Rhinolophus ferrumequinum: one gene and its partners. The protein of the gene in region 4 purifies or fractionates together with the protein of the main gene of each other region. This does not show direct contact. Links are inferred from orthologs where the notes say so. Each region holds a gene or a part of one and is shown on either strand. Other genes may lie near its edges.

Evidence for each region.
Region 1: the proteins of AP2M1 (region 4) and AP1G1 purify together in Homo sapiens (affinity purification with mass spectrometry; 3 studies listed by BioGRID and IntAct, counting the BioPlex papers as one, with this or other methods). This does not show direct contact. The link is inferred for Rhinolophus ferrumequinum from reciprocal best matches to the Homo sapiens genes AP2M1 and AP1G1.
Region 2: the proteins of AP2M1 (region 4) and NECAP2 purify together in Homo sapiens (affinity purification with mass spectrometry; 4 studies listed by BioGRID and IntAct, counting the BioPlex papers as one, with this or other methods). This does not show direct contact. The link is inferred for Rhinolophus ferrumequinum from reciprocal best matches to the Homo sapiens genes AP2M1 and NECAP2.
Region 3: the proteins of AP2M1 (region 4) and EPS15 purify together in Homo sapiens (affinity purification with mass spectrometry; 4 studies listed by BioGRID and IntAct, counting the BioPlex papers as one, with this or other methods). This does not show direct contact. The link is inferred for Rhinolophus ferrumequinum from reciprocal best matches to the Homo sapiens genes AP2M1 and EPS15.

Annotation. Positions count from the first base shown.
Region 1 is NC_046298.1:20,876,479-20,884,493, reverse strand, and holds the start of AP1G1 (AP-1 complex subunit gamma-1), read right to left. Parts: upstream 3,020-8,015; 5' UTR 2,689-3,019; intron 1-2,688. UniProt on the Homo sapiens protein: Subunit of clathrin-associated adaptor protein complex 1 that plays a role in protein sorting in the late-Golgi/trans-Golgi network (TGN) and/or endosomes.
Region 2 is NC_046292.1:11,052,291-11,059,941, forward strand, and holds the start of NECAP2 (adaptin ear-binding coat-associated protein 2), read left to right. Parts: upstream 1-4,635; 5' UTR 4,636-4,688; coding exon 4,689-4,780; intron 4,781-6,927; coding exon 6,928-7,028; intron 7,029-7,651. UniProt on the Homo sapiens protein: Involved in endocytosis.
Region 3 is NC_046292.1:36,801,399-36,808,386, forward strand, and holds the start of EPS15 (epidermal growth factor receptor substrate 15), read right to left. Parts: upstream 3,007-6,988; 5' UTR 2,912-3,006; coding exon 2,879-2,911; intron 1-2,878. UniProt on the Homo sapiens protein: Involved in cell growth regulation. May be involved in the regulation of mitogenic signals and control of cell proliferation. Involved in the internalization of ligand-inducible receptors of the receptor tyrosine kinase (RTK) type, in particular EGFR.
Region 4 is NC_046285.1:60,945,395-60,952,419, forward strand, and holds the start of AP2M1 (AP-2 complex subunit mu), read right to left. Parts: upstream 3,017-7,025; 5' UTR 2,888-3,016; intron 917-2,887; 5' UTR 874-916; coding exon 800-873; intron 1-799. Other genes in the region: DVL3 (segment polarity protein dishevelled homolog DVL-3), read right to left, coding at 5,809-5,840, 6,673-7,025.

The DNA of each region.
Region 1 (8,015 bases), on a different chromosome or scaffold from region 4:
TAAACAAGTTGCTGCAGTTTGAAGAAAATACTTTTAGATTTTCTGAAGCTAAATCTAAATAAAAATTTTAAAGATTTGTTATCAATTAAGTCCTTCTGTATACACAAAATTTTAAATTCCTCATCGAATGCAAATAACGGGATTTAAGCATTTCAAAAATCTGTTTTGGTAAGTAGTTTCCCAATTCAATTTTTTAAAAAATATTTTATTTGATATTAGTAATTATACTTTCATTTATTTTATTTTATTGGGAACAGTGTGTTTCTCCAGGGCCCATCAGCTCCAAGTCGCTGTCCTTCAATCCAGCTATGGAGGGTGCAGCTCAGCTCCAAGTCCAGTTACCCGTTTTCAATCTTTATTTGCAGGAGGCGCAACCCACCATCCCATGCGGGAATTGAACCGGCATCCTTGTTGTTGAGAGCTTGCACTCTAACCAACTGAGCCATCTGGCCACCCCACAATTCAATTTTTTTAAAAAAATAATGTTTTGGAAAATACTTGTTCAACTTTTTCAATTTGCATAAAAAGTTTTTATAAATCACAAAAACCTGGATTTTTGTTTTTATACACCACTGATTTCAAGACTACTTTTAAAAATAGTAGGATGAACTATTACCAAGGCATTGCTGACAATATCTGTACATTAGTTTCACTCTAAAATTCACCCTCAAATCTAGAACTGCTGTCAAAGAAACAGATTAAAGAACAAGCAACTGCTCCCCCCAAAAATTAACTGAGGTTTTCTAAACAATAATGTTAATTTCATTCAAGTATAATCCCAACAACTTTAGATAAAATAGATGCTCAGGTCTATGCTGATCAATCTACAGTGCACTAAACAGCACTTTGCTTATAATTTGTAAGGCAGAAAGACACTTTCTCCAACTGAATGCAAACCATTAGTAAATAGTTTTGAATGACATTTAAATATCAGTACATTGTGTTATGAAATGAACCGAATTAAATGACACCTATCTGATAACTCTTCCAATAATAAACGAGTGAGCATTCCATAGATGCTCCACGTTTGACCAAACTCTTTTGGTAAAAGACTTGGTTTAGAGTTCCTTTAAACAAAGAGAAACTCCACAGCTTCAGAGTAAATACGCCTATTTTTGAGAAGTCTTAAATAACAAGAACACTATTTACAATGAAAACATTCAGTCTTCTACTAATACACGATATGATCAGTACAGGAATGTACCTACCTGATAATAAGACTAATGCACTTAGACATGAATTAGAAGTATTAGAATATTTGGTCCAGTTCAAGTTATAAATTTTAAGTTCAGCAGTTACTAGGCTGTAATCTCAAATAAGTCATTTCTCTTTTGCAGATGTAAAAACCCAGGCTAAGATGAAATAGAGGTGATACAATCACTCACCTAATTTGAAATGTAGAAAATAAGCAGTGAATTACTGTAAAATGCTTTTTATTCAAGCATGCTACACTGCAAACATATGTTAAGAGTAGAATACAAGTGGTGAGATTATGGGTACCTGGAGAGTCTTTATTTTTAAACCAAAAGTTAAGGTGTATACAGTCTGACAAATATTACGAGGAACAGAAGTATTTAAAAATCCAGAAAAATCCAATACAGAAGTCAATCCAAGTATTTTTTAGAATCCGTCGACAAAGATGATTACTGTACAAAACACCTGAAAGTTAAGTTCACTAAGAAATATTCTTTCACTCCTCTCTTCTGTTAACTAATCCCTACAGCAGCAAAAAAAGTTACTTTCCTTTCTACCTACATCAGATTAAGATTCTTCACAGGCAGATTTCCATGCCTAGGGATATAAAACACCAAGAAAAACAGTGTCAATAAGAACCAAAAAGCTAAGTGTTCAGCAAAGGAAAGTAACACACAAATGAGAAAACACTTGACAGCCTATCCCTACCACCCCTCCCAAAAGCCATTTAATGGGGTTTATGAACGTTTACTGCTTAAGGACACTCTGGGCGAGTGTTTCGACGGATCTCCTAACAGGGAAACATAACCAAGCGTCCCAACTCTTTCAGGCAGTCGGGAAGATAGGGAGAATTATTAGAAACTGATGTACGCACGATCAGGAGTTTGAGAGAAGGGTAAGCAGTGTACTGGAAGGTGAGTTTAAAAACAAAAAACAAACCAAAAAAAACCCGGAAAATTGGGAAAGAAGTTGCTCGGAAGATTAAAGGGAGGCGAGGCCGATGTCCGGTTCTGAGAAGACAACACTGCAGGTGCAGACTGGAATTAACTTAGCATTTGGAAATTCTGAAAAGTTCTAGGAAAGACCTGACCCGGGTATAAGATACAAGAACGCTGATACGTGGCTCAAGAAGACACGCGGGGGTGGGACCCGCCCGGCTAACCCCAGGCTCCCCGAATGAGCCCTCAAATGAGGATCGAAGCCTGAGAAAGTCAACGGGTCCAAGGAAGCCCGCAGCGACCGAGCAACGCCACAGCACAGAATGCAACCGCGCGCGGTGCCTCCCGGTCCGAGGCCTCGGGGGTCGGTCGGCAAGAAGTCGGAGCAGTCCTTGGGGCTCCGGGCCCCTCCTGGCCCAGCCTCTGTCCTCTCTTCTCACCCCCCCACAGCCTGGGACCGGACCCCTGGGATTGACAGGAAGCTTCCGGCCAAGAGCTACCGGCAAGCGTGGGGCAAAAGCAGCAATATATTCTTAGCGCCGCGAGTGACACTCACCGGCCCGAAACCTCGAATGAGACCAGCAGCTCCGGGGGCGGCGGCAGCAGTGGCAGCAGGAACCGAACATCCAAAATGGCGGCTCCCTCGGCCTCACCACCGCTACTGCAGGCGGAGGGATCCTTAGGAAGCGGGGAGTTTTTAACTAAGCTCACACACTATCGAAAAACTTCGGTCCCTATCTTCCTCTCCTTGTCGATTCCGCGTCCTCTGACTTTAACTTCTCGTGCCTCCCCTCTCTAATTATCCAAGAACTCGAACCTCGCCGAGGACTATTTGCCAAGGAGGAGGTGACTGCGCCTGGCAGAGCGACGCAAAGCGTAGCATGAATCGGGGCTGTCACTGATGACGCGAGACGCTGCTGCCGAGTCACCGCTGCGGAGAGTCTGAGCGAGAAAGATCCGGCTGACCCAGCAGCCGACCGACATTGGTTCCGCTTGGGGGCGCCTAGGCTACCAGGAAGCGACCTAGTCACCTGAAGAGGGCGGGGCTCGCAAGATGGTAGCGAAGGAAGTGCGAGAGGCGAAGCAGGTGGTCTTGGATTCTGTGGTTTTATGGCATCTTTGCAACATACTTTACAAAAAGAGTTGGAGGATGACACGAAGAATGGATTCCAAGCCCAGTACCACCGCTCAACCATCTGCGTTGGACAAGTCATTTAAACTCTCAGGGCCTCAGTTTCCTCATATATAAACTGAGAGGATTTGGACTAGTGACAATTAAAATCCTTGCAGAGTAGGCTTTCTGACTGACTCCATGAACTAATGAACGGAGCCAAAGACAGGCTAACCAGACAGTTCCTGGCTTGATAAATAATTACTAACACCTGATACGAATATTTTCCATGTAAACGTAAAGAGGGCCATGATAGCTTGACCCATTTAAAGGAAAGGTGACCTACCTAAACTAAAATCCTTCAGATAGATTGGCAATAAAGTGAACCTCCCAAAGTGAATAAAGCACAGTACCTGGGTAGATGCCAAAGAGAACTGAACTAACCACAAATCTTGATTTTAGGACTTGTCGGTCTGTGTTTCCGTGAAAATAAGACCAGGTCTCATATTAATTTTTGCTCCAAAAGATGCATTAGGGCTTAGGTTCAGGGGATGTCAACCTGAAAAATCATGCCACGGCTTATATTCCGGTTAGGTCTTATTTTCGGGGAAACACAGTAGAAAGGTTACACTTTTCCTCTTAGCCATTCTTATGCCAGAATTTCAAAAGATTTTACAAAAATTGAACTGAATAGGCCCACCTGTACAATTTTGTTCTTGAACTACTGAGGCATGCCAAGCGGCTGGGGGGGAGAAAAAGATCAAGGGCATAATAATAGTAATTATTTTTTATTAAATATTGATACCACACTGTTTATCAAAAGCATTTTTGTATGTATAATCTAATCTTCCAACAATCTTCTGAGTCAGACTAGACAGGCATATGTAATTTAGTTTTACAAATAAGAAGATTGCGGCACAGAGAAACTGACTTAGTGAAAGACTCTCCCCATCCCCCATGGGGTTCTGCTATACCATGCCACCTTGCAAATTAGAAAACGGCACACACCCACCCACACCCATACCCACACTTAGGGTGGAATCAACCAAGGGCAAATGGTTTGGGGAGTAAAATGCTTATGGAATTCAGTCACCTTGTATCCCCTCCATGCAACTATTGTACAGTGCATCCCTGGATCACAGTGCAGCCCTAAATACAGTCGGCCCTCAGTATCCTCTAGTTGCTTCTAGGAGGAGTCAACCAACCACAGCTAGAATATATTTGGGGGAAAAATGTTACATTGTCGCTGATGTGTACTATGTAGTCAGACATCTGTACTGAATATGTACAGACTTTGTCATTATTCCATAAATAATATAACTACTATTTACATTGTATTAGGTATTATAAGTAATCTAGAGATTATTTAAACCATACAGAAGGATGTGCTTAAGTTATATGCAAATATGACACCATTTTATATAAAGGATTTTAGCACCCTTGAATTTGGGTATTCGTGGGAGTCCTGGAACCAATCCCCCACAGATAGCAAGGGCTGACTATAGTAGTGCAAAACTGGAACACCGTAATGATGCCTTGACATGGATTCCTCTGAGGTATAGCTATGCATGAACACATGCTAAAGTACTACAGTTTGAGGCTCCCATAAAAGTAAGGAATTTATAGGGTGGGCAGTGGGGTTTAAAAAAAAAAGTAAGGAATTTACAAAGCAGTTAGCTAAAGTATTCCATTTGCAACGTGACAAAATTTGCTTAGAGGTTGAATTTAAATGTTTACCATCGCAAACAGCAAAAGAAAAGTTAAGCCATCTTCTTAAGAAAGAGGATGGAGCTGTTTTCTACCATGCCAATGATAGAGCATGAAAGAGAAAATGACAGACATTATAAAAGGCAAACCCGCTTCATGTATTTTTTTTAACTTATATTTATCTTTATAATTACCAAACCCCTCCTTCAATGTAACTGAAAACTAAAAGCAATTGACCAAGTATGTAGCATGGTCATCATTATCCTGGAATCTTTGGTTTCTGTGGCTAGCAATTGAAATTTGGGAAGACTTAATCACCATCTACTCAAACATAATCCCTAATTTCAGATAAATAAATTACAACACATCAATAAAATGAAACACTATTCTGCCAATAAAAATGGAGGTTATTATGGTTTCACAGATTTTTAGAAACATTACAAAACATTATTATAAAATGAGCTTGTAAAAAGTGTGTACTGTATATACATAGGAAAACAGTTAAAGGATAATACTAAAATCTAAAGATGATTATCTTTGGATGGTGGAATTTAGAGGATTTTTTACTTTACTATGTTTTGTTTTTGCAAGGAGCATACTGTACTTTTATTTGAAAAAAATGTTTTACATTTTGAAAAAGAAAGACCTTATAAGATAATGCAGTTTTATGGATCCAAATGCTAAAAGAGATTTTTGTTTTTAAAATAGCAACAGCCTGAAAGTATTAAACAAATTTCTAGGAAGAGATAATGGCTGAGAGAAAAGATCATTATTTTTATGGTCTTGTTTATTACTGATACCTTGTACAGTTCAATTTAACAAATAATAACAACAAACAAAACTTCAGTTTTTGGCCAGGAGTGAGACCACTTGGATGCCCATCCTGGCTGGGTTTAACTCACTTTGTTCCCTGAGCAAAGTACTTACCATCTTGGGGCCTATTTCCTCAGCTGGCCAGTATTTATTTATGACTAGCCTTATTCCAAAATGGATTCAAAGCAGCTATTATGCAGAGAGATCAAATGTGTGAAAGCACTTTGAAAAGTATCAAACGTCATGAGAATATAAGTATAAAACTTTTTTGTGCCACCTGACAATTCAACTAAAGCATTTATTGATTGCCCACTACAAGTAACAGTAGTGCATTATGTTTTACAATTTACAAAAGTGTATTCATATGCATTGATTCATTTGCTTCTCACCCACCATGAGTTTGTAAAGCATACAGGCATTATAGAATAGTTAAAAGTGTTGGTTTCTGGTGTTAAATTGCCTGGGTTTAAAACTGCTCTTCCTCTCTTTATTGTGTGACCTTCAGCAAGTTACTTAACATTTCTGAGCATTTCTGAACCTCAGTGTCCCCATCTGTAAAATGGAGTTAATAGTAGCATTGGCATCTTAAGGCTGGTGTGTTAATTAAATGAGCTGATACATTTAAAGTATTAATATTACGACAACAGCTGATATATAGTAAGGGCTCAACAAATATTATCTCTTTTTAGGATAAATTTTATTATCCCGATTTTAGAGATGAGAAAACAGAAGCTCAGAGAAATGAAATGATTTGTCACACCTACGTACAGCAAAGACCAGACTCCAATCTAAACCTTTCAACTTTGAATATATCTTTTGGCGCATATAGTAACCATTCACCAAACATGTTGCCTGACTCTTTCAACTACATCATGCTGTTCTGGGTGTACAGAATCTATAACAGGCATTTCAAAAGGGACTGACTATCCATACTTTCCAGATAATTATAATCTCATTGAGGAAAACCAGATTTTTAAAAACTCCCCAAATCCAAAAAAATCAGTGATATTATTACTCAGCAGATACATCTGAGTTCCCAAAAAAGCAGAAAAGTGAGAGATCACTAGGAGCTACAGCAGTGAAAGAGGGCTTTTGGAAGACATGGCATGCAGTTGGACTCTGTGGTCCTGAGGAGGAAGGTGGGGGGAGCAATGGGGGGCGGAGGGAACCATCTCTCTTGGACTTAGATGCAGAGGGGTTCTTAAATGACTCAGTATCATCAGCTGAAGCCATATGACCTTTACAGCAGATGGGGAAAGCCCTCTCTGTGGAAATATGGTCAGCATCTTCCACAGGGAACTCTTCCTGCTCTCCATGTGCCAGAGATCTCAGTAGAGAAAGGAGACGCAACCCTATAGGAAATGCAGTGTCGTGAGTCAAAGAGGCAGTTCCACTGGCCTGTTTTGTTACCATTTGAGTGACGAATCTATAAATAAGCCTGAAAGTCAGGGAGAAATTAGTCCCTCTGTCATTTATGTAATGCTTTTGCAAAAAGCATTTTCACATTTCTTTTAAGCATGGTCCCTAATCACCATTTATCCTGGCCTGAGAAAATGGTTTAGGAATTAATCCTTCAGTTATGACAAAATCCTGATGTAAAACTTAAGATTCTAACAGCCAACTCCTTACACTCTTTGACCTCCTACCAAGAACATGGGGAAATCTACTCTATGTTCCTTCAAAGTAAAGACCAAAGAGGATATGAGGCTTGGCCAAGTTCCTTCTTTGCTTTAGAGACTTTTTTTAAAGAGGCAGCCTGAAGTACCACCGGAGATGCTTTATGTCATATTTAGGTTATATTTTCTTTTTTGTAGTGTAGTTACACTTGGTTTGTAAATGATTCTGTATTATGTTGGAACTTTTTGAGTGAAAAAAATCTCACCAGGTATGAGCCTGCAACCAAGTCAAACACTAACTGAGGAAATGGTGCCATGCTGCCATTTAGGGAAGACAAAACCGACGCCACTGGAGAAGATGCACCATCCAGAAACAAAACAGAGCTTCTGACTCATTGTTTCCCACTCAAGTCATTTTATTGCTTTAATATGGACACCATTATATGCCAAGAAGGATCCACAGTAAATTGGTTTCGTTCTCCTTTAGGTGCAAAGTCCCATCCTTGTTTCTTTAAAATCAGTCAGTCCTGCAAGTTGCTTTCAAATGAGCCTGGGAAGTCCAAGAAGTGTTGGGACATCCACGGTAACTGGGGCACCCAGTTCCTGGTACCCAGTTCAGGGAACAGCAATCTCCTT
Region 2 (7,651 bases), on a different chromosome or scaffold from region 4:
CCTAAGCATTCCCGCACCGGGGGTGGATGACCCATCTGGAGAAACCTCCCCCAGCCAGACCCCTCAAACACGCCCCCCATTGTTCACGCTCTCCACCTCAGAAAGCGCAGTCTCAACCTCAGAATTCTCAGGCCCCAATATTCCACAAGCTGAAGTTTGAAGGGGGCAGAGGCTCCAGAGGGGATCCAGCCCCCCCGTCTCCGTTCCCATTGGAAGCTTACAAACTGGGAATCTGGACAAGAAGGGGAAGAGCCCAACCCTAGCAGAAAGGCATGGAATCTGAGGACAGACTTGAGGGGGGTGGGTGGCCAATATAGACTGTGCCCCCTTTTCAGGACACTTGGTTCCCTTTTTTTTCACAGCTTTATCGAGATTTAATTCACATACCATACAACTCACCCATTTAAAGTATACAATTCAATGGCTTTTCGTATATTCAGAGAATTTTACAATCACCACCCTTAGCACATTTTTTGTCACCCCGAAAAGAAAGCCCACACCGCTTAGCCATCCCCTCATCTCACGTACCCCACCCCCCGCCCGAGGCAACCACCAATCTACTTTCTGTCTCATAGATTTGCCTATGCTGGACATTTCATGTAAATGGAATCATACACTATGTGGTCCGTGGTGACTGGCTTCTTTCATTTAGCAAAGTGTTTTCAAGGCTCATCCATGTTGTAGCTTGTATCAGCCCTTCATTCCTTTTTATGGCCCATATACCACATTTTGTATATCCATTCATCAGTTGCTAGACATTTGAGTTGTTTCCACTTATTGGCTATTATGAATAATGCTTCTATGAATATTTGTGTACAAATTTTTGTGTGAACATGTTTTCATTTCTCTTGTACATATATACGAGCAGTGGACTTGCTGGGTCATATGGTAACTCTATGTTTAGCCTCTTGAGTAATTACCAGACTGTTTTTCAAAGTGGCTGCATCATTTTACATTCCTCCAAGCAGTGTATGAGGGTTCCAATTTTTCCACATTCTCACCAAGACTTGTTATTATCCAACTTTTAAAAATAATTCCAGCCATCCTAGAATTATGTGTTCATGTGAAGTGGTATCTCACTGTGGTTTTAATTTGCATTTCCCTAATGACTAATGGTGTTGAGCATCTTTTCATGTGCTTCTTGCCATTTGTATATCTTCCTTGGAAAAATGTCTATTCAGGTCCGTGGTCCATATATAAATTGGGTATTTGTCTTTTTATTATTGAATGGTAAGTGTTCTTTGTATATTCTAGATGCAAGTCTTTTGTCAGATACATAATTTGCAATATTTTCCTCACGTTATGTGAATTGTATTTTCCATTTTTTGTCCTTTGAAACACAAAAGTTTTCAATTTTGTTAAAGTCCCATTTATCTACTTTTTCTTTTGCTTTTTTTTTTGCTGCTTATGTTTTTAGTGTCATATTTAAGAATCCATTAGATTCTTTTTATTATAACATAAATCCAAGGTCATGGAGATTTATGTCTATGCTTTATTCTAAGAGTTGTATAGTTTTAGCTTTTACATTTAGGTCTATTATCCATTTTGAATTAATTTTTGTATATGGTGTGAGGTAGGGGTCCAACTTCATTCTTTTGCATGTGGATATATCATCCGAGAATCATTTGAAAAGACTATTCTTTCTCTACTGAATTTTCTTAGCATGTTTACGAACAGTCAACTGACTGTAAATGTGAGAGTTTATTTCTGGATTCTCAATTCTGTTCCATTGATCTATATGTCTATCCTTATGCCAGTAATACATTGTCTTGATTAATGTAGCTCATTAGTAAGTTTTGAGATCTGGAAGTGTAAGTCCTCTAACTTTGTTCTTTTTTTTTTTAATTAAAGTATAATTGACATACAATATAATATTTGTTTCAGGTAATTCGACATATTTCCTATGATGTGATCACAATAAGTCTAGTAACCATCTGTCACCATACAAAGTTATTAAAATAATATTTATTATTTCCCCTATGCTGTACATTACATCTATGAGAATTTTTTTCTTAATAACTGGAGGTTTGTACCCCTTATGCCCCTTCACTCTTTTCACCCATACCCCACCCCCCTCCCCTCTGGCAACCATCAGTTTGTTCTCTGTATCTATGAGTCTGTTTCTGTTTTATTTGTTTGTTTTGTATTTTCAGATTCCACACGTCAACTTTGTTCTTTTTCAAAATTGTTTTGGTATCGAGTGCTCTTTTATAAGTATTTTCCCCATCTGAGAAATGGGTGAACTTCTCTTATAAAATGTTTGTGATGGTAGGAAAACACAACAGAGAAAGATGATAAGTGACCTATAATATATATGTCTGGAGGCCACCAAGGAAAACTGCTCACATCCAACCCCCGCTCCCCTTGGCCCTGGACCAACAAGAAAACAGCTGGATAAATCACAGAGAGATTTTACAACCCCGCTCACCTCCTCACACATAAGATGGGCTCTCTCTGAGCCTATTCTCTGCCTGTTGGGTTGAATTGAATTCTTTTGGTAAATACTGTAGTTAACCTGGGAGTAGATGGTAGGTTCAGTTATTCTTAGCAACAGAGGTTTAGGAACGCATTTAGGGAATGTCCAGCCATGTGGTTGGGTTTTGAGAATAAGGCAAGGGGACTGTCTGACCTCCAACTAGAAGGCACTGTAGTTTCCCTGGGCTTGTCACTGTTTCAGTGGCCTTCATTACACAATGAGGATAACAATCCTTGCCCTGTCTACCTCACAGGGATTATTGTCAAGGTAACCTCTTCCAGAGAGCCATCCCTGACTGCCCCCAGGTTGCGTGGGTTTCTCTTCTCTTCACTCCTACAGGCCCCTGTGAGTTTCCTCCATCATAACACTTTTCACTCTGCATTGCAAATGACTCTTTTCTTCTCTGTCTCCTCTCTGGTCTGTGAGCTCCATGAAGGCAGAGCAGGGTCAGCCTTATCTCTGTGGCCCTAGCACCCAGCACCTGGCATCTGGTAGGTACTCACTCAATGCCCATCTTTGTTAGACTGAACTGAACTGAAAGTGCTCTGAACACATTGTAAGGCCTGGCTGCCCCTGGCACAGAGTGATGATCCCCTTTGAGGCTGATGAGAGAAAGGTTTTCTACCTGTGGCAGCCACATGGCAAGGCCCAGAAGAGTCACTGAGGGTCACCTCCCCACTGCTTGGCTTCCAGAGCGGAAATGATGGAACTCGGTGCTGATGGTAGACGCTACCCCAAAGCTGGTCCTAGGTGCTCTCCAAGATGGAAGTTTCTCTGACTCAGTGGGTCCAGGTGCTTTCCTTCTGTGATACTTGATTTTCCCATGTTGTTCAGCACATGTAAGGAATCAGAGTATGAAAGAGAAAACACAGTGGCCCATTCCCAAATTGCCCCTTGGCCTTGGAATGCAGCCAACTGAAAACACACACTGTCGGGGACAGAGTCCCAGAGAGCAGTTTCCAGGCTCTGGGGCTTGCGTGGGGAGGTGCTGGCTCGGGTAGTGAATGACCATCAACTGTGATTAGTTGGCCATCAGCTGTAACCGGTTAGCCAATTGGCTACTGATGTAACTGCAGGGCTGCGTTGATTGGTTGGTTGGTTGGCAGGCAGAGAAGTGAATGGCGGACTGTGGGTCATGTGGCTACTACTGCGTGTGTCTTCCCAGCCTTCAGTGAGACTATAGTGGCATGACTCCCCTACCTATGGCTCCGTGGGTGTTCCTTCTTGGCCTCACCATATCCTGCGTTCTTATGTGGGGAGCGGGACCAGAGGCCCCGCAGGCTGCCCCGCACGACAGACACACACACACACACACACACACACACACACACTCACTCATTTACTCTTTCACTGCGCACTTACTCTGTGCCAGGACACTAAATACAGCAGTCTACAGGTGGCAGGGACGGGGCCCTACATTGAAGCTCACAGTCTAGTGGGAAAACAGACATATAAACTGACCGGTGAGAATATAAGGGGATAAGATTTGTCTGTGTGGGAGTGTGTCCTCACCTCCGTCTTAATACCTCTCCCCCTCTATCATCTAAGGGGAGTTCTCTCTTTGCCCCTCCAGGACTTTAGCAAGATGAGAGTCAGGATCAAAGAACTGGGAGGAAGAAATATCATTTTCTGGGTCATTTCTCAATTTCTTCTTTAATGTGCAGAAGCAGGGTAATGAGCAAAGTTGAAATTAGAAGTTATGCCAATTCACATAATGAGAGATTAACTTCACACTCTCCTGGATGACTATGACCAAAGATAGAAAATAAGTATTGGTGAAGTTGAGGAAAATTGGAACCCTTGTTCGCCGCTGGTGAGAATGTAAAACGGTGGAGCCGGAGTGGAAAACAGTTTGGGGGCTTCTCCTAAAGCTAAACATAGAAATGTCATATGGCTCAGCGAGTCCACTCCTAGATACATACTCAAGAGAACTGAAAACAAGAACTCGAACAGGTATTTGTACTCTGCCGCGCACGAGGCCTTGTGGGAGGGGGAAGCCCCTGGAGAACCCCAGTCCTCATCAGGGGGATTCCTGGGTCCGACCGCCGTATGTCTTGAGCCAGGGCTTCCAGCAGAGGGCGCCGGAGCGATGTGGTGCTGAGGTCCCGAGCTGCCGCTCTAGCCTGACCCAGGTCATAGAGTCGCGCCGCTTCCGGCACCCCCGCTCCAGGCTGGGAAGGAGCCGGAAGTCTGGCGGGCTCCGGGCATCGCAATGGAGGAGGGCGAGTACGAGTCGGTGCTCTGCGTCAAGCCAGAAGTGCACATCTACCGCATCCCGCCACGGGCCACCAACCGTGGCTACAGGTGACTGCCCACCACCGGGCCAGGCTAGCCCCAACTTAATCCCTTCCCCGCCGCCCGGCACGCCCACTGTTGGGAGCTGAGGATGGTTACGGCCAGCTTAGGGGCGAGGGGAGGTAATGCTCAGGTTTCTCTCGGTTCTTGGTCAGAGCTGGAAGGGAAGCCCAGAATTTTGGCCGTCTAGGTCCAACGCACCGAGCTCCCGGCTGCGGGAAAGGCGTTAAAGCCGTGTCTAGTGTTTGGGGACCCGGTGGGCTGCCAGGTACCCTAAACGTGGTCGGGAGTGGTGGTGTCACAGACTTTTTTCTTTCAGAGCTAGCTGGTGGCCTTGAAGGGATCCTTGAAAAGCCTTAGGGGGGAGGGGACCTATCACAGGCGGAAATCCCGGAGGGGAAGGAAGGGAGCCCAGAACCGGCCGAAAGGACAGGTCCCGGGGGCTTTTAAGCTGATGGCGGAAGCCCAGGGAGCCCTCCCTGTCCAGCTCCCTTCGTGTGAACTTGATACTTTATCGCTGCCTGTGGCAGTTGGGAGGAATCCATCCACACTTCTCTGGAGAAATGTTCCTGAGACGAATAAACACATATACTCGTAGACTATCTGGAAGGGAACGGGGGTTGAAAGGGGCTTACTTTCACTGTGTACCTTTTTGTACTGTTTGCGTTTTGTTACCGTGTGTATGTATTACTTATCAAAAGAAGACGAAAAATAATTAAAAGAAAAAAAGATTACCTGATACAGACAACCTGGCCTATGGCTATTTTGTGCCACTGGGCGGGGGGTGGGGGTGGGGTGGGGGGTGGTAAGGCGGGGGTGTGCTCTTGAAGGGAGTATTTGTTCAAGTTATTTGGAAATACAGGACTGGCCTGCAAAAGGATGGTGGAGTGTGGACAGATCTCTCCTCTTGTTAATTTCCAGTTGTGTTAATGGGATCATAGCTGATTGGGTAATGAACCCATATTTTGTTGAACACCTGCTGCATCCGTAACATGATTTAAAAATAGCACAAAAATAGTATAAAAGTAGCAAAAACACATTTGCTTTCTGTCATCACTGGAGATGGACCACCAAACCAGTGATGGTTGTCTACCCTCATCCCCTTTCAGTAGGATGGGTTTGACGCCTCTTGGACCCCCAGAGAGCAAGATTACCAAGTGTCAGGACTGGCCGGTTTGGCATAGAGGAAGCTGTCCTTCAATCTCAGAGCTCAGAGTCTAAGGCCTGTCGCCCCAGTAAGAGGAACTGAAACAGCCTGCTGACTTCTGACTTGTGAATTGAGAATCTGCATTTGGGTGGCCTTCCAAACAACCTACATCCACAGTTATAGTGTGTCCCATATGCTTGGGACTTCCAAGAAAAGCTTCTTGGAAACACCCAAAGTTCTTGCTATTAGGGGATTTTACTGAGCGGCTTCTTAGAACTAAAATGTGAAGTTACTGCTTTAAAAGAGCCAAAAGAGGGTATTGCAATAGGTCCATGGTTTCCTGGGTTCCTTTCTGCTTTTCTGCCTAGGATACCTTTGAGAATGTTTCTTAAACACCCGTTCACTTTTCTCGTGTACTGTTGCTCTCCTTTTCTCTGCTAATGATTGCTCCCCTCTCTGCTTTTCCTCCACGATGGTGTCAGTGGTCCCAAATGATCACTGACCACACCAGCCTAGCACTGTCTTCAACAAACAACAAGCCCCAGGAGCTGCTTCCTCTATAGAAATAAAACTGGAATTCCTACTTCAGAGAAGATCTCTAGACTCGTAATCTAGAACTGGGGTCAGCAAACGACGTTCCACTGTTTTTGTATGGCTCACAAGCTAAGACTGGTTTTTATGTTTTTAAGTGTTTGGAGAAATTTTTAAAGAAGACATTTCATGAAGTGAAAATTACATGAAATTCAAATTTTGGTTCATAGTTTCACTGACATACAGCCACACTCTGTAGAAACCATTCGTTTAAAATACTTAAAGCACCAACACACTTACGTACAGCCTTTGACTGCTCTCACTACAATGGCAGAGTGAGTGTTTGTGACAGATTGTGTCGCCGTTTTCAGAGAAGTTCGCCAGTCTCTAGCGCAAGCCTTCCACATGCCCTTCCCATCCTCATCCTCAGCATAGAAGGGAGCCTCCAGCAGAGGCTCAATGGTTTTTGTCCCCTTAGGGCTGCGGAGTGGCAGCTGGACCAGCCATCATGGAGTGGCCGGCTGCGGATCACTGCAAGAGGGCAGGTGGCCTACATCAAGCTGGAGGACAGGACCACAGGTAAAGGCAAGGGAAGTCTGTGTGTGTGGGGCTGAGGTGCCATGCCACTCTGTGAAGGGAGAGGCAGCCCTGGCCTGGCCAGGCCACTGCGGGGTCATGGGAACCTGTCCTGGAAATTAAAAACCCCAGTGTGTACCTTTAAGACCCCAGTGAACCATCCTCCCCACCTTTGGTTGTAGTAACCAGTATCCCCAGATGTTAAAGGCAGTATTTCCTGTCAAGCACTTTTTCTTTTGGAGGGCCCTTAAGAAAATACTAATTTTGGAGTCTAAGGAGAGGAGATCTGTAGGTTGGTCCCAAAAGGGAAGCCCCGGAGCTTGTCTTGAGACGAGCTGGGTGAAGACGCACAGCCCTCTGCTGTGGAGCTCTGGTTCTCACTCAGGAATTCTGTTTATCAGCTAAGTGGTAACTCCCCAGACTGACCACGCCCGTTAACTGAAAGAGCTGGAAACTGGCCGACTCAGCTTTTTCTTTGGTGAGATGAGCTAAGCTGGGCAGTGTTGGGGTCAGCCAGCAGACGCACGTTAGGGGAAATCTCTCCAGAAGTCCTGTGCCACCTGTGCCTCTGGGTGAGCTGCAGAGGGCAGCCCGGCCCCCAGAGCAGGGATTGGGCACAGTGCCTG
Region 3 (6,988 bases), on a different chromosome or scaffold from region 4:
AATGCTCAACAAACACTTGTTGAATAAATATTAAAGTTAAGAAAACTGAGGCCTAGAGACTTAACTAAATGCCATACAGGTAGCTCTTGGCAGCGCTAGGACTGGAACTAACATTTCATTACTCCAGTATTCTCTCTATAAGCTAGAATATGATAATTTAGATAATTTATTTTGGTAGTTGAGAAGTTGGAGAGTTGGTTGGCAGGAAGGGGAAGAGGGAGAAAGGAGTACATCAAAACATTTTTCACATTTTCCACCCAACTTTCGGTTTTGCTTAACTGATAAAGGCAAAAAAAAATTATAAACTAAACAATCCCAGAAGAGTGCCTAGAACATAATAGGTACTTAACAAATATTTGTTGAATAAATGAACCTATTCCAAAGCCATTATTATCTCATGACCAGAGGAAGAAACTAACTTCAGCATGTTTAATCTTTGTAACTGTTATAGAGCCCTTTAGAATTTCCCGTCATTCATAAGACAGTTATTAATCACTTTCTTCCAGATGGGCACTGAGAGAGGACAGATGAATTAAAAGATATTCCCTGCCCTGGAGGATCTCTCTCACTTGAGTATGCCTATATCAGCGAGAGGAGAGAGAGAGAGAGAGAGAGAGAGAGAGAGAGAGAGAGAGAGAGAGAGAGAGAGAGAGAGAGAGAGAGAGAAGACAGAGATATTTTGGGGGGAGGGGTTGACATAAACATATCTATACTGAATGTGAAACTAGGTTGCATTGTTATCCCAGTTTAGTACCTCCAGCACTTAAAAAATTAAATTAAAAAAACACAAATCAGCAGTTTTAAAATAACAAGGAGGCACATATTAGGGTATATTAACACTTGGGAAAAGTTCTTTTTCCCGTGCCTTTACAATATATCTTACTTCCTTTTAATGTCTTAAAATCAAAATATTCTAAATTGACTTATTTGAATTGTCAATATAAATGAACCACCAATGTATGTCCTAGCATTTGAGACAATGAAGTATAATACTCCTGCTTCAGTATGTACTCTGTATACATGTTAATATTTAAATATGTAACCATAAGGACATATTTCAATTATTTAACTGTCTATATGTCTATAAAACTGACAGAGCCTGAAGAAAACCTTCAGAGATGAATGCTAGTAAATAGAAACTAAAAGCATTGTATTCCCCAGGGAGAGAATAAAGTAGGCAGGCATACAGCTAAGAAGTAAACCTACAAAGGCCTTCGAGGGAACAAAATCTTCAAGAGGGGAAAAACTCCTACCCGAATTGACCAACTGAGCCAGAGAACACCAGCCTGCCAACAGGATCTTGTTTAATGCAAGTGACTAACTAGACTCATAAAAGAGTGAACACCCAAAAGTCAATCTTGCCATTCTTCAAATTTGAGTGTCAGGAGGATCCCTCCAAAGAGATTCACCACCAAAACTAAGTCACCACATTCCAAGGATTCTTCCCCATTATCTGCTTGTCAAAATAGGATAAGCAACACCAAACAAACTAGGAAACAAACATTCACTTATGAGTAGTAATTCTTGCAAACTGGGGTTATTTTACTCCAGGTACGTTTATGTGAGATTCCTGGTTCCAGGGGAGAACAACTTTTCACTCAGTCTATCTTACAGTGGGGTAAGCAAAACATCCCAAAACCTCTTGATCCCAGCAATGAAAACTCTCCAGCCCAAACGTATACCCTATCCCAGTGTTAACGCCTATGAAGCACGAAAAATCCAGGCCAAGGAGACTACAAGGTGGCAGGGAGATACTAAAAGGCAGGCAGGAAGGTTGGGGTGGGTGCCAAGGGGAACCGACCTGGCCACCAGCTCTGGAGACAACATGCTGATAAGGTGAGACCGGGATAAGTTTTGGTCAAAGGAGTGGGAAGGTACTGACAGGTGCATGTCACCTCATTATCCTGGACATCATGGCAAGATTACAACTGACTTTCTTTACAGAGAGGGAAGAATGAGGCTGCCAGAGTCAGTGATGTTGAGAAGTTTTCTGGGAAGCACAAGGACTGGGGCTCTGAAGGAAGCAGAAAAGCAAGAGGAAAGACCCTGAGAACCGGTATTGGTGAAAATTCCCCCAGGACAGGTGTTCTCTATGGCCGTTCCCAGCACCAAGACTGGTGGAACCACCACACCTGTTAAAGGATGTTTCCCTGCTACCCGCTTGGACAGGAGATAGGAATGGTAACAGACGTGAGGAGGAAAGGACTAACCGGGGGTCTGACCCAGTACGAAACCTGATCAAGAGGGGAAGAGGCTGAACTCAGGAAGGGGCTAGCAGGGTAAGCACGCGGGTCGGATAAGACATTTGGAACAGAGACTGACTGGAGAAAACTGTTGGGGAAGGGAGGGCTTTCGTTGGAATCCAGGGGGAAAAGGCCGGTTTAGCGAGCCCAGATGCCTTGAGCGTCCGACTTGGGAAGGTGACTCTAACTGGGGGAAGCGCGCTGCCTAACCCACAGGGTGAGCCTCGAGCGGGCCGAGGGCTGCCCTGGGCGATCCGCGCGAGCTCAACAGGAGCTCACCTGGGACGGTCTGGCCTGGAAGGAGGAAACTTCCTGGGTGGGGGAAAGCTGAGTGGGGGGAGAGGGACCCAGCACCGACTAAGGCGGGGAGGGGGCACGGTGCACTTAGCTGGGGCGCCGCGTGGAGTGGGGCCAGGGGCGCCGACCCACCCCGGGTGGGGTCGCGGCTGCCGCGGCGGAGCACCGGACTGGGGATGGCGCCCTCCCTCCGGCGCACACGCTCTCGCTCTCACTATCGGCCACCTCTCCCGGGGCCGAGAGAAACTGCCCGGGTCGGTGAACCACAGGGCGGTGGGGGAGGGGGCCGGCCGGGGAAACCGACCGATCGAGCCCGGCGGATGGGCGGGTGGTGTTACCTGTGTCAGGGAGAGCTGGGCCGCCGCAGCCATGGTGTTTCCATCATGCACGGGAGGGGAAGGAAGGACGGGCGGACGGGGGCTCGGGGCGGGGAGGAGGCGGAGGGAGCGGCCGGAGGCGAGGCCCGGGCGGGCGGGCTGGCGGGCGTCTCCCCTAACTTCGACAACTTCCCTCCTCTCGCCTGCCCCGCCCGCCCCGCGCAGGCCGCGGTGGTACCCAAATCCTGGCGCTGGATTTTAAGCTGCCCGGCCGGAGCTTGAATCCGGAGTGGCCTGGAAAAACCCGGCGCGGATACGAAATTAAGGCGGACGGGCTGTGAATTTTAGGCGGGTCACCTACCTACTCTAAGTTTCTGCTTCTGAAAAAAGGGGGAAATTATACCCAAAGTCCAGGCTGCTTGTGAGGACTAAGTAAGATAATGATAGAAAATAGTAACAGTACTTTATATATGCCAGAATCTGTGCTAGGTGCTTTATTTTTGAATTGTATTAATGAAGGAATTGAGACATAAGTTGTACTCGTATAAATGAGGAAACTGAAACACTAGTGTCATACCAAAGGTCATACACCTGATTATATAGCTAGAATAGGATTCAGGTCCGACTCCAAAACCTTTCATTTAACCATCTGCTATTAGGGTGTGATATTGAAAAAGAAAACTTAAGTCATTCCCTCCAGGAGTCAAAACCTAGAAGAGAGGGGGAAGGAATACTTTTCTTGCATGCTTGCTGCCTGCCATCCTTAGACTGTTCAATGAAAGAGCACTGGGACTTATTCAGTTGCCTACAGCCCTCCTAAAACCTCCCATAGTCCACCTGGCAAACTCCTCCTACTTTCTCATGACACAACTCAAGTATCAACTCCTTTGCAAAGCATCTGCTAGCCTCCCCAAGTCAGACTTACACCTGCTTTTCTTTTTAACCTTTTTTCTCTACCTTATGAAGTCATCATCACCCTGGTGACTGTTTACATCTGTCTACCCCTCTAGACTGAGAGTTCCTTGAGGACAAGTACTGTTTCTGATGTACTTCTAGATCCTCAGACCCTAGCAAATAGTATGTACTTAATAAAGCCCATGGTTCCTGCCTATATTAAACATAAAACATCCTACACTTTCTCATGCTGCCATCTTCAATTAGAAAAACCAACCAGTTACTTGAAGGCCTCCGCTTTAAAGGTTTGGCTTATACGCTCCCTACTTAAAGAAGCCTTCTAGGAAATCCCACCCCATGTCTTAGTTGCTCTGATATGTTCCTTATTATACTTGGTATGCCTTGTTTCTAAAAGGTAGTTGCGTGCTTTTCTGTACCCCACCAGACTGTGAAATCCTTGAGGACAGGATGCCGACTGACTACTATATTCCCCTCACAGTGTAGTCTGGCACCAAGGAAGCCTCAATAAATGTTTTTTACCCAGAATTGGTCTCCCTTTCTCAGTCATGGTGGGTTCCCACAACAATAAACCGCAACTCTATCAAACCCACACCTCTGTAACCATTATCACAGCAGTCGCCATTTGACCCACCAGGAGAGCCAACTAAACCCAGGACTGAGTTAAAACCCAGCTAGGTTTTTAGTCCTTTGTCACTACAGGCAAACCATCCCAGAAATGCCCCCCAGAAACTCCTGGCTCTGTTCAGACCCCTTTTTACAAGGTCCAGCCATGAAGAATAAGCCATACAGGTCTGGTGAACAACTGCTTACTCAAGAGAATCTCCCTTAACCTCCTTTTGCTGTTATTCTTTTTAACTCAAGGGAGAAGGGGAGATACTGTTTTAAATTACTCCACCTTGGTACCTCTATCAGCTATAACAACAACTGATGTTTCTACTTGAGTTTTCTATTTTACATTAAGATATTTGAGCTTCCCAACTCTGAAAGGTAGTAATCACCATACCCACTTTACAGGTGAGGTAACTAAAGGCCAAAGAGGTCAAGTGATTTGCACAAGGTTAGACAGCTCATAACCAAAGCAGTATAGCATAGTGGAATAAACAGGGCTTGGACATCAGAAGCACCCACGTTCCAATGCTAGCTCTACCATTTCTAGTTGTACAAACTTAAGATTGTTGTGAGGATGAATAAAACAACATCTGTGAAAATACCTAAAGACATAGATACACAAATTTCACTAAGAAATCTGAAAGTCATGGAAGAAATTGATACTTTAGGGTGAATAGAGTCCCAGTGTATAGTTTCCTAGAAAAGCAATGTGGGGAAGTAAAGAGAATATTGGAGTCATTTAGTGTGTGACCTGATTTTCTCATGTATAAAAAAGTTTTCTCATGTATAAAAAAGTGTTTGAGCCTCATTTTCTCATGCAAATCAATGTGGAAAATATTGAGGAAATATAAGGCATTATCATTATAATTATTCTGTGATTGATATTAAGTAAAAAAACAAGACAAATGTATACAATATCACAGTTTATAAATGTTTTTACAGCATGTAGCACAACTCCCGGAGTTAAATACACACATGATTAAAGTTTGTTGAACTGAACTGAATGCATAGTCTTGTGCAGTTATTATTTGGATCCTAATTTTATCCCCATTTTAAAGATAAGAAAACCATGGAACAAAGATTTTTCTAAATAACTTGTTTAAATAAGGATTGCTTAAATCAGGTTTGGGCCTTGGTTAAAATGACAGTAATGATAATTAGACCTCTCAGCAAAGGAAGACTAGTTAAAAATCATTATATTAGAATTGCTCCAGGCCCCTTCCAGACCACCAATAATTTGTACTCGTTTCCTTCTCTGCTCATTGGTTCTGGTTTAAATTAAAAACTTGACATGTAGTGGGGGGTGGGAGTGATGGTCTAAACTAAAAAAAAAAAAAAAAATCTAGAACTTCTGGGACTGGATTTTTTAGAACGATACGCCAATGATAGTTTGCAAATGCGTGTCCCAGATCTCATCAAAGCACTGGGTCATATCCCAAATCTATTTTAGGAGAGTATAATGTAGCTAATGGAAGATATGTTATTATCTAATTCAGTGTAACAAGAATGAGCTTCATGGAGCAGACAAAAAGGGCTTACGTGTTTTTTCTAGGGCCACTTAATTTCTCTGGGTCTCTAAATCTCACATTCCTAATGTGTACATTGGAGATAATATCTACCTTGTAGGGATGGTGCAAGGATTAGAAAACATGCATAAACATCCTATCCAAGAGCCTGGACTGGAATAGATGTCCAATAAGTGGTACTAGCTATAAGCATACCATTTTTTTAAGACCACTTCACCATTTAACTCTCTACCCCTCAGACAATCCTGCAATTACTAAGTCAATTTTGCAGACACATTGCCTTGAACAGCTGATACACATACCCCTGTCATCAGAAAAGTAAATGTTCCCTAGGTAAATAAAGCTGTGTATGATGACTTCAATCTGGATAGTGAGAACCGACAATTGCTGCTTTCATATTATTTCATTGAATCCTCATGACAACCCTATAGGATTATTAATTTTATTTTACAGAAGAGGAATTTGTCCAAATTCATAGTGAATTATATACAGGCCTTCTGACTCAAATGTACTTTTTACTAGGGCATGTTGCTGGTGTCCTGCAGACATTACTCACACCCGAGGAGACTTGATAAAATGGTGCTTCTAACCATGGAAACCGGAAGATGAGGCTCCGGATTTATAAGAACCCTAAACCCAAGATGATCCTGAAGAGGAGAACTTAGAGCATGAACAGTTTTGTCATCAGCCTATCATCCCATGTTTCTATCCTACTCTAACTCCTACTCCCCCTCGCCAACCCATCCTTAAGGGAAACCACAGTGATTTGTGTTTCTTTACTTTCTGACTTTTGGAGGGGACTGTTGTATCAGCTCTTCCTGAACACTGCACATCTGTGATGCCAGCATTTAGAAATGCAGGATGATTGATTGGAACTATGAAAAAAAAAAAACCACAACCAACTGTGGGGATCTCTCTGAATATACAAAGAACTAATTTATTTGCATGAGACTTTAAGAACGGCCTTCCATATAAATGGTGCTAAGCTACCAAAAAAAAAAAAATTATACTGCAATTGTAATGGTAATCTGGAGCTCATGCTTCCAAGCTGCTGGTTTCATAAATATAGCCCATTATTGTT
Region 4 (7,025 bases):
GGTTTGAGGGACCCAGAATAAGGAGCGATTCCAGGTCTACTCGGATAGGCCAGAAAGGGCAGCATGGCCTCCCTGCCCTTCCACCTGCCCCTCAGTGACCCGGAGGCTGCCTCAGGCTTGCTCACAACCTCTCCCCCAGAAATGGCCGAGAGGAACTGAAACAGCTAAGTCAGCAGCCTGCCTCCTTCTGAGAAAGGGAGTGAGAACGGGAGAGGATTAGGCAGCCTGGAGAGGCTTGTGAGAGAACCCACACACAATGTGACATACAGATGGTGTAATACAGAACTGTACACCTGAAATCTATGTCATGTTACTAACAATTGTCACCCCAATAAACTTTAATGAAAAAAGAAAAAAAGAATCCAGTGAGGGCTCTCACCGTGAGAAAGGCTTTTGACAGCAAGACTTAGATGGATTAGTACCTCCAGCCTGGCCACTAACTCCACCCACTGGAAACAGATCTCCCTCTTCCTCAAAGGAGGAATCAACCTGACCAGGCGAAAGCACTCATCTCCAGCTACCAGGTCTCCCACTAAGGGAAACAGGAGGCCGGAAAGGCCAGAGCTCCTAAGACTTCGGAGACCACGCCATTCCACAGGTCCCGTCTAGTGGCCAGCAACTGGCTGCCAGGCCAGTACCACCAGACCTCATGGGAGTCAGGCTGTACTGGCTGAGCTTCCATGATGCAGCAGGGGGTGGGAGTGGTCAAGTCAAGCCTGATAGGAACAGACCTGGCCCTGCATGCTGGGGAGGAGGGCTGGGAAGGTGGGGGCACAGCTGGCTCAGCCAGGGGACTCACCCGATGTCATCTCGGTAGACCCGGGAGATGAGCACCTCCCCCTTGTGATTATAGATGAATAAACCTCCAATCATGGCGGCAGCTCAGTCTGCGAGGCCCATCGTTCTGAGAAAAGACCTAGGATAAGCAGGGACAGGGTAAGGGAAGGCCTCATAAACCCTTCCTGCGTCCCCTGTGGGGCTGTGCAGGTCACAGTCTGGGCTTTTTTCCCTGACTCAACTCTCCAGTAAGTGTCCCTGCAGCCCTCCCAGGCATGCCCCTCCCCTTAGCCAGGCTCCAGTTCCTGTTTATCCCACACTGGAAAGGAGGAAGAAATGGTGAGGGACTTGGGCCCAGGATTCTAAGGCCATTTTAACCCTCCCTTTCCTGGGGCTGAGCCCACATAGTAGCCCCTTTCCCCTTTTCACAGAGCCGAGCTCAGCATGGATCCTTTTCAGCTCCTTCCTGTGCAGACTCACTTAGGCTCCCACCAGTGAGTCACTGCTAAGGCCTGCCTGCGGCTGCAGGAATGGCGGTAGGAATTACTCAGTAGGTTCAGGCCTGGGGCCCCCAGGCACAGCTTTAGAAGCAGTCTCAGGCTCTAGTACCCTTCTGGGAAGGAGGCAGGGCCTGAACTTCTGGCTCTCTAATTCACAGAAGTCTAAACATTCCAAGAAAAGGTGTGCAGGGTGGTGGGGAGGAGGAAAGAAGGGAGGCCTTAGGCTCTGCCAGGCAGTCTGATAAGTAGGCAAAAGAGCAGAAGGGAAAGGCCTCAGCCCTGGCCTACTAACTTCAATGACCCAAGCTGCTTATTAGTTATTTTCGACCACCCCCTCTTTCAAAAACGGGAGGCTCTCTCTTAGCTCCCAAGTACAATAAAAATAAGCCGGGAGGCGAGACGAAGGTACATAAAATTAAGAGATCCTTCCAGCTGAAATTCTGTGATTCCAGACCCACAATACAACTCACTCCTGGCCTGAGTGCCTACAAGCAAGGGACAGGATGCCTGATTTATCCAAATTATTTGGGTCAAACTAAGACTGTTTGCATGAACAAAAAGGGTTAATTTAGTTCTAGATTTCCTGGGTTAGCCCTGGTATTAATTGCACAGGGGGAGTTTAGCAGACTTTTCTAAACTGTAAAATAAATCCTATTCGTGTGGCTATCAAAGTCTCCCAGACTCAGTGAGAGGTCTGTCAAGGTGGTGGACACATCCCATTTCTCAGCGCCAAAGAGGCTGGGAGAGGAAAGGCAAAATGGAGGTGGAGCCCTGGGCAAAGGTTCACAGGTATCAAGTGGTAGGCAGCTCTGGCACAGAGAAGCAGAGGGGAGGCCCCGGACAGGAATGGAATATTTAGTTAAGGAAAAGCCTGGCAGCAACGCCAGGCAGTACCCTCAGGTGGGCACATGTGTACCACAGCAGCAGCGGGGCTGGTGGGGGCACCTGGAGGAAAGTTTCAGTATGGCAAAGGTCAGGGCTTTGAAGAGGTGGGGGAAACTGGCAGTGGTGAATAAGGGAACAATGGGGTGACAGAGCCTGCTTTGGGGTTCAGGTGTAGAGGTATGAGGAGGTGGTGGGCTTTTCCCCTGGGTAGGAAGACGTCGCAGAAAAAAAAGAAAATGATTCCACGGGGTGCGGGGCTGTCACAGGTCTGAGGAATAAAAGCCGCGGGTGTCTGTCAACTGGGAGGAAGGGGTGCCGCAGGGTGGGAGCCTTGTCACACTCCAAGGAGGCGGCACAAGGGGGTGTCACTGTCCTGGGGGCTTGGGAAATTGTCCTTGCGCTGAGAGGAGGCGCCGAGGGGTAGGGGTGTTGTCACGATCCCATGGAGGGGGGAGCCGCGTGGCGCCCCGGATCTGGGAGGATTCCAGTGGGTCTCCCTCTCACGGGAGGCGCCGGGCGGGTCAGGTGGAGGGCGCCGCTCCCCGCCTGCCCTGCAACTGCGCCCCGGGCGCCCCCGCCCCGCCTTCAGCTCCCTCCGAGATCTGAAGGCTGAGGCCACTCCTGGGTGTGGACAGCTTTCCGCGTAGCGCAGTGCAGGGAAGGGCAAAGCCGGGCAGCGGGGCAGGCGACCTGCCTCACCCCGTAAGGCCAGATCTCGAACTCACCTGATGTCCGCGGACCCCCTGCTCCGCCCGCCCGGCCACTCTCCGTATTCCAAGATGTCCGCCCGCCCCCTGCTTGCCTGCCCGCTGCCTCTGCTTTCGCCGCAGTGCCCCGGCCCCGCCCCGGCCTCAGCTGCGCGTGCGCGTGCGCGTCCGACTCCCGCGCGGACTACAAATCCCGTCAGACCCTCAGACTTCACGCTTACAATTTTAAGCTCTCCAAGTTTAGCAAAACTACAACTACCGAATGCCTTCGAGAACCTTCGACAAGAAGGGTAGGAGTGGCCTTATCCAGCCCTACCCGAAATACACATCCCAGCATACGCTGCTCACGCTCACTTCATTTTCCCCACTGAGTATTCTGGTAATTGCAGTCCCTCCCCTTCCTATTTTGGTGTTTTATGAATGCCTCGAGTTCAAGGGCCATTTGTTGAAGCCCATCTGTTAAGCCTTGGATTGCTGCAGGCCTCTTCTGTCTCCAGAGTCCGAGGACTGGCTGTCCTCACTTTATACACAACACACAGCTTGGCAGTAGAAGTATTTGTGCTGAATTTACTGCTTTCTAACATCACCTCTGATTCTACCAAGTTTTTTTTCCCAGCATATATTTGTACTAGACATGAGCCGGTTCCCAGGGATCAAGACTCAAGGAAGGGGACGGTGGGTAATGAGGCAAGTACTTGGACGAAACTTGCTAAAGCTTTCCAAGAATACGTGCATGTTCTACTTCAGCTATACCTATGTGACTGTCAGCTCAAGGCCACAACCTGTGTGCCTTCCAGTGAGGCATATATGTTGCTTAGAAAACCGCTGGTGAGTTTAATTTAATTGGACGTGGGATTTGAAATCCCTTCTGATGAACAGTGTCAAACTTCATATCCAAGCCAAGAGGAAAAGAGAGAGCCAATCCTTGAACATGAAAGGCCTGACTGGCTCTTGCAGGACCTGAAGAAAATTTGTTGGCTCTTCTCTTTCTGTAGGGAGAGAGACCGTGATGCCTTCCCTAGTTAGGGCTGAGACCATCATTGGAGGAAGATGGAAGGGCAAGAAAGGGCAAACCTTGCAAGCTTACTGTCCCTAGCATCCTCTTTCCAGAAGCCAGAATGTGGCGAGATAAAGATTTGGCCTCCTTCATTCAAATCATGGTTATAGCTGGAAGCCATTAAGTGACGGAATACAGACAGTTCTGATCCCTGAACCAGCACTCAAGGCTTCATCCCTACCTTTCCAAAAGCTTTATCTTCAATACTTATCCTAAGCCCTTACCAATTTAGAGTAAATAATAATAATAATAATAATAATAATAATAGTAATAGCTACCATTTATTGAGCACCTATTCTACTGTGTGCCAGGCACTGTGCTAGGCACTTTTCGTACAATATCTAATTTAAATCCTCACAACAACCCTGTGAGGTAGGTATTATTATCATCATTTTACATGTGAGGGAACTGAGGCTCAGAGAGATGAAATAACTCTCTTATCACACAACCAAAAAGTAGTAGAGCTGGGATTTAAACCCAGAACAATCTGACTCCAAATCTCATGCACCTGTGAACTAGAGTAGAGGCAGAGGGAGAAGAAGGGCCCAATTCAAGAAATGTTGGAGTAGAATGGATATGATCTGCTGACTAGTAAGAGATGGGAAAGAATTTAAGCCCATAAATGTTTCTAGCTGGTGAGCCTATGTAGATTGTGATGAAGGTAACCAGGGTGGGAAGTCAGGAGGTGGAGGGGGAAATGAGTTGAGTCCGTATGGACATGTCCATGGAGATGTCTAGTGGGTTATAAAAATACAGATCTAAAGGTTGGAGGGAAATGGGGGCTGGAGATGTATATATATGAGAATCATCAGTGTGTCAGTGGCAGTTGAGGACATTAGGATTGATGACACCATTTGGGGAGTAAATAGGAAAGAAATGTAATGAACACTGGGAGCACCAGCACCGAAGACATGAGCAATAGTAGAGGAATTCTCAAGAGAGTTAGACAAAGCAGTCAGAGAAGAAAGAAGTACAGGAGGCAGCCCTATAGTGGTGGCTAGAGGAAGCCGTGGTCTTGGCTGGGAACAAACCCAGAGCTTCCAGAAGGCAGGCAAGACGGAGTCAGACTTCCAACACAACCCTCACTCACTAAAAACCCCAGGAAGTATTTGTTGAAATGAGTGAATGCCAAAATGCCCCTACCCGGGTTTACCCCAAAACCTGGAGCTTAGTACTTCATTTCACTCTTGACATCCCAGTTTTGACTAGGGGAGCCTAGGTGAGCCAGGAGAATTTATAGGAGAGACTTAAAGAGAAAGTCGTGATTTGTTTAAACTAAAAGTAAGCTAAAAAAATAAAACCTGGCACTGTCTGGAAGTCCCAGAAGTCCCCCTGCCCTACTGCTCTGGGGTATCATGGTGATTGTGAAAACATGAAAGGTTTGTGCAGCAGTAGGCATGGTGAGAACAGCCTGTCAGTTGTCTGGGGAGTCCTCTGCTGAGCCTAGCCTGAGACCCAGCTTATGCTTTATCCAGGTAGGAAGATGAGGAGGACGTGCACGGGAGGCTTGAGGACTACGAGGGAGGGGAGGAAGGGTGGAGGTAAATCGGGACCAGCCCTACCACCTGGGAGAGGAATGGAAGAAAGGGTCTAGCCCTCTGGGCAGGGACCAGCCCTAAAGCTTAAGTGGACTTTGCATAGGCATGTGCACGCGCGTGCACGTGTGAAAGAAAGAGAAAGAGAAATAGAGAGCACGCACACACTCTCTGGAAAGGCGAATAGAGTCGTACATGGGCAAGTGGCTGGGGCCCTCCCCAGAAGCCTAGTGACTCAACATGTTGAAGTATGGGTATAGGGGCTGAATATCCTTGGGAAGCCCTGAGGGGCTGCTGAAGCAGGGTTCCTGGTCTCCTCGGAGGCTGGGCCTCCCCTCGCTGGGGGCTCACAGAAAGTCAAACAGCCCGAAATTCTTGGCTGCTCCAGGCCCAGGAAAAATTGGGGGAGGAAAAAAGAAAGAGAAGAAATGTTTCAGGCCCAGAGGTGAGATGAGCCTGCTGGTTAGTAGGGTTAGGGGTCTGAAGGAACCAGCACACAAATGCAGGCACGGTGGGATGGATGGTGGTGGGGTAGAGCGGAGATGCTCCCTTGAAGCCACTAGCAGATCAGGCACCTGCGGGCCCTCTGGGCTCCTGGTAAGGGCCCAGCACAGGCAGGGAGTTACCGGAGGTGACCCCAGTTCTAGGGTACAAGCAGCAGGCAGGGGACAGTTAGGAGGAAGAACAGACGAAGCAAGATTTTTTTGGTGTCAGTATTGTGGGGAAAAGTCAAGAGATTGGCACACATGCTTAAGGGGATGAGGGTAACAGAGGGATGATGTAGGTGGATGAATGGTGAAACTGAGTGGGGAGAGGTGGGGACAAGGGGCCGAGCAGGTCCTCAAGGGCACTGCTGAGGTCGACTCCTGAAGTGTATGCAGAGAAGGGAGTAGGGAACAGCACCAGCGAGTCGGGTCCCAGGGACATGAAGGATCCTGGGAAGTCCTGTGTAGCGGTTAGTGGGCAGAGGGCCAAGCTGGGGCCATGACAGGTTAGGGGCTGCAGGGACGATCGGTGGATGCGCCCGCCCTCACTGAGCCCAGCGAGCAGTTAGCGCGCCTGGATTTAGTTCTGTTTATTTCCCTTTTAGGTACCAGACAAAGTAAAAAAGACGGAAGGAAGGATGGAGAGAGGGACGCAGCCAGCCAGGGTAGGGGTGGGATGGAAGTGGGGGAGGGGCCCTGCTCACATCACATCCACAAAGAACTCACTGGGGTTTCCCATGGCCATGCGGAAGGACTGTCTGCTGGCGGTCAGTTCGGGGGGCACAGAGGCCAGGTCGCGGCCAGGAGGGGCTCCTGGGGGCCCCATGGCCGCGGGCGGTGGGGGCATCATCAGCATGGGAGGGCCGTAGAGAGGGGGCACGCCAGGGGGGCCGTAGCTCGGGTGCGTGTGGTGGCTGCGCAGGCTGCTGGCCAGCGAGTGGTGGCTGCGGTGGCTATGCTCGCTGGCGGCAGGCCCCGAGCGCTCGCTGGGGGCCCGCTCCCGCGGCCCCCGCAGGCTGCTGCGGGTTGTGTGGTCCGACTCGCTGCCGCTGCCGCCCGACTTCGAGTCCCCGGCCTTC